3 linked regions of the Cricetulus griseus genome follow. The main gene of each other region encodes a partner of the protein of the gene in region 3 in a complex. Links are inferred from orthologs where the notes say so. Each region holds a gene or a part of one and is shown on either strand. Other genes may lie near its edges. The genes, in order: Prkg1, Cnn1 and Itpr1.

Region 1 (3,650 bases), on a different chromosome or scaffold from region 3:
GAATATATACTCTATATGAAGACACAAAGGCACTAAACAGGTAGATTTGGGAAGGAGAACCTAGTCAGGAATTTATAAAGAACCACTTGATCTGGGTTATCTAAAAAAGTAACAGATAGTTAAAATTTTTATGACTCTTAGGGACATCAGGGCTATCTCTAGTTAAGTTTTGCAGGGGTGGGGGTGGTAGTGGTGATTATCCAATGGAGAAGAACTTGAAGGCACCGTTGGAACAAATACGAAAAAGAAGTTTTCCAAAAGTGCAAAGACAATGGCACACACCTACAATGCCAGCACTCTGGAGGCAGAGGCAAGGGGAGCAAGAGTTCAGGGCAGCTTGGGCTACATAATAGGCCCTATTGCAAAAAGCCAATATTTGGGAATGTAGCTCAGTGATAGATTATTTGTTTAGCAGGTACAAGGCTCTAGAATTGATCTCTAACACAGGTCCTTTATAGGAAGTAACCAAAAAGTATTTGTAGGAAAACAAAGTTGTTTTTTAAAACAACAAAAAAAATGTAGATGACAGAAAAATAAAGAAAACAACTTTTCACAATTCAGAGAAACAAATATGTACTCTCTAGGCAAATTTTACCTCCTAAGGAAGGGCAGGAGGGCAAATAAAATTGTTTACATAAAGAGGGGCAAATAAGAGGATTGATTTCTCCCCTAAAGATTAATTTACCCCATAAAAGATAGGGTTGCTATCTGAAAACTGAGTGGTACAATTAAAGTGTCAGGCAACACAGACTGTAGTTACGATGCAGCTCTGGGTCTCCCCAAGTTATCACACAGTGAGGAATTTGAGGTGTAGAGCTGGATCATTCTGATAATCACATAATTTCCTAATGATCATTTTTAATGTGGATTCAACCCTTACCACTAGTTACAAGGTGAGTTTTACATATCTTATAGTAAATTCTATATGCTATTGGCTGTCTCATGTTTACATTTGAAATTATAAACATACATAAAATGTAAATATAATTTTATTTATGATGATGATGATGATGATGATGATGATGATGATGATGATGGATTCCTCTTGTAGACCATTATGGGCCACTCTGTTTTCCAAAACATGACAGAAAAGATTTAAATCTCCTACCTATCCCTGAGAATAGTCCAGAGCTCTCCACCTAGGCAAGCTTCCATCAACATATACAAGTATTTGCTGTCTTTAAATGTCCTGTACAGCCTGTGAACAGTAAACAAGAGAACAAAAGTATGAACATTATTATCTTTTAAAACATTTTTTTAAGTTTGGTGAGTTATTTTGTTGATATATTGATATAAAATTATGGACTACAACAAGGTGTCTTAACACATATACGTGCCGCTTAATAGCTAAGCCAGGGTACTAAGCACACGTATCGAATGTTTGCAGTACGAAGCTGAGGTGGAAGGAATGAGTTCTGGTTCAACTTGCAGGGTTTATAATATTGTATTGAACATTTCAAACTAGATAACAGAGATAACTTGCAATGTTCTTCTCATAAAAGCCAGTACTCAGGTTGCAGTGTTTTGAGTTTTGATTGCTAGTTTTGGTATTTTTGATGAGATACAGGCACTGAAGTCTTCCAGAAGCCAGTGTCCCCTAACACTTACAAACTATAGCACTAGAAGCTTCTGGCTTGGGCTAGTCCTAATGGGTATGTGCACATGAGAGTTTCTGGAGGTTCTATCATTCTTATTTTGCTGATTTTCCAAGCATGGCCTTGAGCAAAATTTAGTGGTCATAAGCACAAAATATGTAGATATAAAGTATATCATATTTTATAAATATAGATTGTAAACAGTAACTTAAATTTATATCTTAACTTTCTGTATTACTGGCAAATTGACCATAAAATTTCTCTTGCATATAAGAGCTTCATTATCACCTTATTAGTAATATGAAAATATTAAGGTAGACAGATTAGTTGCCATTTCATAAAAGAAACCTACTGGGGTTAGGGGAATAACTCAGATGGTAAAAGTACCTGCCAGGTAAACATGAGGCTGTGAGTTCAGATCCTCAGTACCCCATGAAATTTGGGCACAGCTATATCCATCTATAAGCCCAGTGTTGGCTGGTCGGAGACAGGCAGAACCTTGAGCTCACTGGTCAGTCAGCCCAGCCAAATCAATGAGCTCCAGGTTCAGTGAGAGACCATGTCTCAAAAAACAAGGTGCAGTGTGGCTGAAGAAGTCACAGGTATCAATCTCTGACTTCCACACACATGGTGCATTTAACTGCACACCCCCCCCACATGCTCATGAGTACATGTGAACATAAACACACACACACACACACTACAAACACACAAAAATAATCCTTCAGAAAATTAACACTAAATAGACTGATTTTGGTAATTGTTTCTTTTGTTTTCTGTCTCTTGTGTTCAATGAGGATGTTTGCAGAGCTATGACAAAAATGAAATGTTGAGTTGACATCTCTTTTGAGAAAAATATCCTTTTTTGAGAATATGATTCTCTTTAAAAATAAACATGGGGTCAAACCTTTTTATATTTAGAAAACCAAACACAATTTTCCCCAGCCTTCCTTGGGAACATGAAATCACTACATTAAGGGTAAGCTCAGCGGGAGCAAGGGCTGCGCTTGACCTGCCCTTTGGAGCTGGTGCATCCATCCTTAGGGGTGTGCCTTTACCTCACTATGAAGTCAGAATGGGCCCCCTGCATGATCTGCTTCTCCGAGCGGATATGCTCCTGCTGTCTAGTGTCCACAATGTGGCGTTTCTTGAGAATCTTCATCGCAAATGTTTTGGATTCTTCACTTTTCAACTGGACCTTAAAGACACATAGAAACGGCACATGAGCGAGAATCTACAGACTTAATATGCCAGACTGCACCATTGTCCTCAAATGAGCAGATACATAAAGGATATAAATGAATCCCAACTACCACGCAAGTCACACAGGGTGATGATATCCTTGCTAGAGGGACTGAGTTTACAAACACCATGTATAACCATCCCCTAGTCTTACTGTGCTGGGTCATATTAATTAAATTATTAATTAAACAAGTTAATTTTGTGCCCATATGAATTGGAAAAATATATTTCACGTTTTATTTTATTTCATATAATGAGTGAGTATAATGCATAGTCTTCATCAAAAAACATCTAATTTCCTCTTAAATTCTATTTCATGTGCTAATGGCAAGATGTGATCACATGATCTCCTGGGACTTTATACTCTTCAAAGTCCTCATCCACAAACACTTTTAGAGTTAAGTTTAGTGATTGATCCTGGTCCCTACTGGAGCTGGAGATGTATAAGTCGTAACTGTTAGTATCCACTTTACTTTCCAATCTTTTCCTGCCTCCAGTTTATATTATATATATATATATATATATATATATATATATATATATGTATGTATGTATGTACCAAGGTGCTTTTTTGGATTTTTAAAAACCACTTTTTTTGATACCATGCTCTATGGTATCAATCTCCTTTGATCTTAAAATCTTACTCCTTAGTTGTATCCACTGTAGACTAATATAGTGAGCTTACATCTCTTGCAGCCCACATGGCTCCCTGTGCCTAGGAAGGAGGCTGAGACCCTCCAATGTCTTATCTCAAATGGGCTGCAGGCGTGTGTTCATGCTTACAAGAGATTCAACCAAGAGCCCTGTGAGTCA
Region 2 (4,324 bases), on a different chromosome or scaffold from region 3:
ACCCTTACCCACTGAGCCAATCATCAATCAGCCCGATGGGCTTTCTTCATGGCATGAATGTGATTATCTGGCTGGTTACTTGGTTACCTTTTCTTCGTGATGAAACCTATTACCTATTGCTGGGTGTGGAACCAGCCCAATTTCTCCCCCTGGGCTCCACATGGAGCCAGGTTCACTCCCCACACACCTAGAGCAAAGGCCTGTGTATATCAGGAGCTCTCTAAACACAGTATTAATGAGTGGTAAGTGAATGACTGTGGTGGATTGTCTGTGTAAGTGCTGAGGGTGGAACTCAGCCAGCCTCGCTCATGTATATTTTCTGCACTGAACTGTACTGTACCTCACAGCCTGTGCTGGGCATCCCAGGTGCGTGCCAAGCCATGGTGGGCTGCTCCTGTGAAGGTTTTCATCTTCCCCAGTGATGAGGGCAGTGGGAAGCCACATAAACTACATATGGGAAGTGGGAATTCTACATAAACTATTGTAACACCACCACAATGCCACTAAAACTGGAGATAAACAGCCACTGTTGCCCACTGAGATCCATAGACAGGCCTGCCCTGTAGCGTGTGCTAGCTAAGTAATGGCCTGGTAACACCTCAGGGCTTTGGGTACTGTCTTAAACCTAACTGACTCGGTCATCTCTGCCTGTGTAATGGGCACAAGTGAGTCTTCGAGGCCTTTGAAGGAATGTGGGTGGCATCAAGTATCAGGGTCTAACTACAGTTCCAGGTTTGGGATCATCAGGTGATGTTGAGGGCCAGTATGGAGCAGGTGGGGTGCTGGCTTCGGGGCGCGGTCTGCACCCTAAGAACCTCACTCACTCGCAAAGAATGATCCCATCTTTGAGGCCGTCCATGAAGTTGTTCCCGATTCGGCGACCTGTAACCCCCTCAATCCACTCTCTCAGCTCCTGCTCCCGCTGATGGTCATATTTCTGGGCCAGCTGAGATGGAGATGGAGGAATGAGGCACAGGTGATGAGGAAGCAGGCAAGAGAGAGGAGCTTTGGCCTTCTGGGGCCCATCTCAGCCCGGATAGGCCCAATCTCCTGCTTCATCCATCCCAACTAAGGCAATCCTGTCTTAGTGTCCACGGTAAGGGGGCAGGACTAGCGGGAGGCGGAGGGCCAGGATTGAGGTGGCACCTGCCCAGGGGGCCATTCCGGGCATTCTGAGGTTTGGCACCAATGAATAGACAAGAGGGGGCTGGAGAGCCTGATCCTTGAAGCTGGGGGGGGGGGGCGGCGCTTGGATCCTTGGTTTCCCCTCCAAGCCAAACTTGGGGCTTAGCTTCCCCTGACCCAGCCCCCCCTCCACTCTCCATTTGGAAGAGGAGATGCCTTAAACTGGGGGCGGGGATGAACCCTAAGAAGGAGCCCCTGGGTGCTGGTTTGCTGGGAGCCCCAGGACATCACACATAGAATCCCTGGTTAGAAATGGGGATTATTTTGTACCCTTCCTAATGCCTGCCTGAATGTGTTTCTTAAATCTGTCCTCAGCCCCACTTTGTCTCTCTCGTTGTCCCCCAACTCTGTGGTGCATTATCCTTTTCTCAGTCTGGGGTCCCCATCTCTGAAGACAATCCTGTCCAGCCAGCTCTGGGGCTCTTGGCTTTGTAGCTACCCCTCTGATCCGGTCTTCCCGGGTACGGGGTGGGATTCGACCGGCTCCCTTCTCCGCCTCTTAGCTCTTATCTCCCTCCTGGCTCGCCCGCTCTCCAACCTGTCTGCAAGACCCGCTTCACGATCTTTCAGCAATCCTGCTTGTTGGCCTCCCAGCCCCTGGTGGTAGTGAGATGGGGGGAAGGGGGATGCCTCACTTCTTCTGAATGGGGAGAGGAGGGGTGCACCCCCTTACCTGGCCCCAGCCCTGCCGCCCCCCTCCCCACCAGCCCGGCTTTATAAAGCAAACCGGCCCTTATATAGCGCGGGCCCAGGCTGCCCAAGGCCGCCTTATAAGGCGCGGCGGCTCTTCTGCGCCTCGGGCCGGCGCTGGGGGGAGGGGGCGACGCTGCCATCAGTCTCCCGCGGAGCACCCGCCCCCCACGCTTCCCCAATCCTGAACCCCTAGGATACCCCAACCTGATCCAGGTCCCAATCCCTGCTCCTTGCTCCCCTCAACTTCTGCTGTGGGACCCTGGAAAGGAAGAGCCTCAGTATTCCCTTCTGTCAAATGGGATTGCCTCTCCTAATCTGTGCAGTCCCCTGCCCCGGGAAATCGATCTATCCCGGTGTGGAGAGGGGTTTGGGTCCGCACTTGCCTCACCCGGGGCCCTAGCTCCTTGCTGTTCCTTTCCAAGCCTCAGTTTACCCATCCATGTCTCTCAGTGTCTTCTAGCTGTATGAACTGCAGGGTTGATTTTTTTTTTTTTTTTAAGGTAGGGGTCTGTCCCTTCCCCCTACATCCCTCCCAGGAACAAGAAAATTGACCAAGGACTCTGAGCAGGTGGGAATCTTTGCAGCACTCTGATTACCTCAATTTAAGGATAGTGGGGTTCCCTCATTTCACCCCTCAAGTAACCGAGGGCCCTGGGATGTTCCAAGGACAGAAAAAACGGCCCCTATTCCTTAACTTCCTTCTCTTCTCAGGTCTCAAGTCACCTGACACAGGTAGGAGGGCGCTCAGGGTCTGTCAGAGGCCAGGCTAGGCAGTCCCCCGGTCTTACCTTGTTCTTGACTTCAGCAGACAGGCCATAGGCAGGACCTCGGTTAAAATGTGCGGAAGACATGCTGGCCAGGGGGCTCTGGCAAAGCAGAGGTTCTGGTGACACTGACGAGGACAAGGCAGCTGAGCCTGCGTCTGCACCCTCTTCCCTCCTCACACGTTTTTGAAGCTCCAGAGGCCAGCCCCAGGCTCTTCCAAGCCTGTCCCATTGGCCACAGGGGCTTGCCAAGGGGCGTGGCACCACACACACACTTTGGCCACCCCCACCTCGTGATGTCAGGGCCTTGGTATTGGAAGCTGATTGTGTCATTGTTTCCACCTAGGGGGCTGTTTGCCTTATTCTGGGAGAGGGGCTTGCTCACACAGGCCACCCTCCTCTACCCTCCTCCCATGCCAACTGTCTATGTCCCATCTCTGAGTCTTCTTATCTCAAAGATGACCGGTCTCTATCCCTTTTCAATGCCAAGACAGGACCTGTGTCCACTTCACGTCCCGTTTCACCCACCCCCACCCCCACCCTGTAGTTCAGCGAGACAATCTGACTGATCTTCATACATCACCCTAAACACATAACCTTCTCCCTAGGTCTCTATTGCCATATCTACAGAAGGGCTAGTGATAGAGCTTGCCTCATTAGGATGTTGTAAAGATCAGAAAAAAAATGTCACCTCCAGGGTGCCCAGTGCAGTGCCTGGCACAAGGGAGAACCTCAGCCAAGCTTTGCTTCTGCTAACAATCTGGTACCCTGTTCCATCCCCTCCAGTCCCTCATGTGGACTTGGGGCAGCAAAAAGCCTAGTTCTAATTGGGTATGATGGCTCACACCTGTAGTCCCAGCACTTGAGAACCTGAGGCAAAAGGACTCCTGAGAGTGTGAAGCCAGCCTGGGCTACATAGTGAATTCCAGCACAGCCTGGGCTATAGAGTGAGACCCCATCTCTCTCCCCCACACATGAGTTAGTTTAAAAGGGGTGGGAGGAGGCTGGCAAGATGGACTGATGAGTTAAGATGTTTACTGACAAACTTGATGACCAGAGTTTGAACCCCAAGATTCACATAGTGGAACAAGAGAGCAAACTCCTGCAACTTATCCTCTGACCTCTATTATGTGCAAACACACACACACACACACACACACACACACACACACACACACACACACACACAAATGTTAAAAGGTAGAAGCTAAGACATAGGTCTATTAGTAGAATCCTTGCCTAACATGCACAAAAACCTGGGTTCAAGCCCTAGGACCACATAAACCAAGGCTGGTAATGCATGTGCATAATCCCAGCACCCAGGAGGTAAATACAGGATGTTCAGAAGTACAAGGATGACCTTGGCTACATACTGAGTTCAAGACCAGCCTGGGCAACTTGAAAAACAACAACAACAACAACAAAACAAACAAACAAAGATCCTAGACCTTCTCTCACTATTTATCCATTGGTCACCTGAGCCACCAAGGCCTGTGTTAGCTGGTCTTGGGCCATGAGTACTCCCCTGTCTCTAGCCAGCTCAGGCTGGTCTGGTTGGACACCTGTAAACATCCCTGTCTAGGACAGCTCTCATCTGGACCGTGGGGTTGAATGCTCCAACTGCATCATGTCAAGTGTAGGATAGTGACACTTGTATGACATCAATCTCTGTGCATTAATGA
Region 3 (3,650 bases):
TTTTCTCAGGTATCAGCTTAACCTCTTTGCAAGGATGTGTCTGGACCGCCAATACCTGGCTATCAATGAAATATCTGGCCAGCTGGATGTTGATCTTATTCTTCGCTGTATGTCTGATGAGAACCTACCGTATGACCTCAGGGCATCCTTTTGCCGCCTCATGCTTCATATGCATGTGGACCGTGATCCTCAGGAGCAGGTGACCCCTGTGAAATACGCCCGTCTGTGGTCAGAAATTCCCTCCGAGATCGCCATTGATGAGTAAGCCTGGGTCCAGCTTCCTGTAGAGATTTTATGTCACTTAAAAATCCGATGACTCTAATGTTTTGTGTACCAGGAGATAAACCACATACATGACCTAGTAAAATCATAGGAAAAAAAGAACTTTTTTTTCCTTTCAGATTTAAATAGAATTGTGTAGCTAGCAAATATTGTTTACTTCCTCAAGGAAATAGGATGCCAGGGCTGTGTTTTTTCTGTCTCTTATTTAGGCCTTTCCCTCTGGAAATATCTGAGTGTGTACTGTGTGCCAACATTGAAGAATATTACTGCAGAATCTAGAAAACTACCTCTATGTTAGTGGGGACAGACAGACAGTAAACATGATGAGTGGCTGTATATGTAAGCAACCATGCTAAGGAAGGAGGTGTAAAGTTGGGCCCAGGTTGGGGGATGCTGTCTTTGGAGGCTGAGCAGCCTGAAAGGGTCTGGCTGGGAAGAGTTTGACATTCTCCTTCCTTCTCTCTCTCTTCTCTCAGCTATGACAGCAGCGGGGCTTCCAAAGATGAAATTAAGGAGAGGTTTGCTCAGACGATGGAATTTGTGGAGGAGTATCTAAGAGATGTGGTCTGTCAAAGATTCCCCTTCTCTGATAAGGAGAAAAATAAGCTTACATTTGAGGTAAGGCATGATGAGTGGTCTCTGAAGTTTTGTTAGCACTGGCCATCTTTCCGTGGAGTAAGTAGGAAATATTTTAATCCTTGGTGACTATGTCGCAGTGCTCTAGTTTTGAAACACAAAAAGAATTTGGGTCAGATTTTTTCCAGAAAAAATATAACAGTTGCCAGTCAGGTAGACTCATCATTTAGGGACACAAACTGTGTTGCTTTCATATTAAACTATTTCCAGGACCACCATCCATCCAGGAATTACGTTCCAGAGAACTGCAGTGTCCTTATCTGTATTCTTACTGGCTATGATTTGGTATGCCCTTGGCAAGTCAGGAATCCAATTGATGAGGCCCATTTCTTATGAACTAGTCATCAAAGCAAATGAGTTGTTTTGTAAGCTTGCATTTCTTAGTTTTCTATCATGTAAAACAAAATGAACTTTAACCAGAAACAGATAGCCAGATGTATGCTTTCTCTGACCATAGAGAAGAGCATGATCTCACAGGATTAGCTAGTCAGCATCAGAGTGAAACAGAGGACAAAGGTCATTGAATACCGATTTCCTTTTCTTTTAAATGCAACAGGTTGTGAACCTAGCCAGGAATCTCATATACTTTGGTTTCTACAATTTTTCTGACCTTCTCCGATTAACCAAGATCCTCTTGGCAATATTAGACTGTGTCCATGTGACCACCATCTTTCCCATCAGCAAGATGGCCAAAGGAGAAGAGAATAAAGGTAACAATGATGAGGAGAAGCTGAAGAGTGAGTATCTGAAGTGTCTGTACTGAGAGATGCCCTCCCGGCCCATGCTGTTTCACTCATGCCATGCCTCATCACGTGACATCCTATCGTGTCCTTGTCCGTTCTCAACATTGGGAACATACCAATAGAAATAAAATCTGGAACGGGTTCCATTGACTCCCATGCCCATCACTGTTGGTCATTCTGGTCATTCTCAGCAATTTACTTTTTCCTTCACATCTGTCTTGAGTCCTTCCATGTGTCTTATTGAATAATTTGAAAGTTGCCCTGTGCTTTGAGTGTTTAACCCTCCAAAACCCAAGTCCTGCCATCTGTTCCTGATGCTTCTGAGACACTTGATGATGATACTCGATACTAGGATGAAATAAAGGGCACACACTTGGATCTTGGTATTTCTTTTCACTTTGTGAATAGGAAAATCCATGACCGTGTGTTTATCTTTTCCTGTATTTGGGGGGTCAGAATATGCATAGTATAACCACCATGTACCAATGCTTAGTTTTCTATAACTAGGATGCAAAAGGTATTTGACTCAATTCTTCCTCTCTGTCAAGTCCCTGTGGGATGTTGCTTTGCATACATAATAGCATTGAGTTCTGCCATAGGGATGTTTTTATAGGCTCAAGAAACTGAGCCTCAGAAGTGAAGCAATGTATTCAGGACTTCTGTTCGAAGCAGCAGCGTTTGTGCCTGCTAACTTGCATTCTTATTGTGTGCACAATCACAAGCATACATCCTTGGAGCTGAGTCAAATTTGGTGCTGGAATTAATAAATAAACATGCCCCATTGGAGATGTCAAACCAAGTTCTTCCCACTGCTCTCAGAGGCCTTAAATTGGTCATGCTTATTAACCTCTTGGGTTCCTTGGGTCGAGAGAGTGTATCAGAACAGGGATGTGTTAAATAGTTTGCCTCAAAATACCAATACCTCTAATCAGATGCTTCAGACTGTCTCCGGGAAGGTCATGACCATGATCTGTCTTGGCCCTTTCTAGGCAGTAACGTGATGAGATCAATCCATGGAGTTGGGGAGCTCATGACCCAGGTGGTGCTTCGGGGAGGAGGCTTTTTGCCCATGACTCCCATGGCTGCTGCCCCTGAAGGAAACGTGAAGCAGGCAGAGCCAGAGAAGGAGGACATCATGGTCATGGACACCAAGTTAAAGATCATTGAAATCCTCCAGGTATGGTGCAGGGAACAAGATACTCATAGAATCTCTGCTTAATATCTCTTCTCTCTGCTGGAACAGGGGCAAAATGTTTACCTCATCCCTGTGTATCATTTCACAATTGACTCCCTTTAATTCTTGGTTGCCATTGTCTACCCCTTCCCATCATGGCTTTGCCTATTCTGTCATCCCAGAGCTTCCTTCGGTTACCTTAGCTCTACATCCCAGCCGGCCTCCCTTTCTCTGTCCAAGCCATTGCCTTTGCTGTTCATTCACTGTGCTTCTCCAGAGTTCTATTCGCATTGCAGAGCCCTCCTCTCCCTCCCTCCTCCTCCCCCTCAATGGTCTGCCATTTTCATCTACCCACTTACCCACGCAGGAATGTTAATTGACACCAGATCCATGTCCCTTTTAGCACTTGGAAAGCAAGCAATGAACAAAACCCACTAAAGTTCTGGTCCCAAAAAGCTCTGTTTTGACAGGGAGCATAGGCACACGCCATCCCAAAAATCAATGCTTAGTTATTTAAAAATAAAAACGAGTCAACTGGAAGCTGCAGAGATGACAGTGGTTAAAGGCATTTACATGCTTTTCTAGAAGACCTGCCTTCCATTCCCAGTACTATATGGTGGCTCACAACTATCTGTGACTCCAGTTCCTGGGAAACTGGATGGCTGTCTTCAGGCCTCCATGAGTACCAGGCATGCAGGTGGTGCACAGACAAGCATGTGGATAAAAACTAATACATGTGTAAAAAGTTAATTATTTTAAAGAAGAAGGGTGTGGGCTGATTCGGAGAATGCCGTAGGTGGGGGAGGGGCAAGGAT

What was found.
Region 1: Itpr1 (region 3) and Prkg1 share a complex: the UniProt entries of both Homo sapiens proteins name them as parts of the cGMP kinase signaling complex. The link is inferred for Cricetulus griseus from reciprocal best matches to the Homo sapiens genes ITPR1 and PRKG1.
Region 2: Itpr1 (region 3) and Cnn1 share a complex: the UniProt entries of both Homo sapiens proteins name them as parts of the cGMP kinase signaling complex. The link is inferred for Cricetulus griseus from reciprocal best matches to the Homo sapiens genes ITPR1 and CNN1.

What each region holds. Positions count from the first base shown.
Region 1 is NC_048596.1:30,845,796-30,849,445, reverse strand, and holds part of Prkg1 (cGMP-dependent protein kinase 1), read right to left. Parts: intron 2,794-3,650; coding exon 2,654-2,793; intron 1,199-2,653; coding exon 1,109-1,198; intron 1-1,108. UniProt on the Homo sapiens protein: Serine/threonine protein kinase that acts as a key mediator of the nitric oxide (NO)/cGMP signaling pathway. GMP binding activates PRKG1, which phosphorylates serines and threonines on many cellular proteins.
Region 2 is NC_048597.1:134,990,302-134,994,625, reverse strand, and holds the start of Cnn1 (calponin-1), read right to left. Parts: upstream 2,813-4,324; 5' UTR 2,730-2,812; coding exon 2,667-2,729; intron 947-2,666; coding exon 825-946; intron 1-824. UniProt on the Homo sapiens protein: Thin filament-associated protein that is implicated in the regulation and modulation of smooth muscle contraction. It is capable of binding to actin, calmodulin and tropomyosin. The interaction of calponin with actin inhibits the actomyosin Mg-ATPase activity.
Region 3 is NC_048601.1:36,109,020-36,112,669, reverse strand, and holds part of Itpr1 (inositol 1,4,5-trisphosphate receptor type 1), read left to right. Parts: intron 1-9; coding exon 10-261; intron 262-758; coding exon 759-900; intron 901-1,474; coding exon 1,475-1,628; intron 1,629-2,650; coding exon 2,651-2,838; intron 2,839-3,650. UniProt on the Homo sapiens protein: Inositol 1,4,5-trisphosphate-gated calcium channel that, upon inositol 1,4,5-trisphosphate binding, mediates calcium release from the endoplasmic reticulum (ER).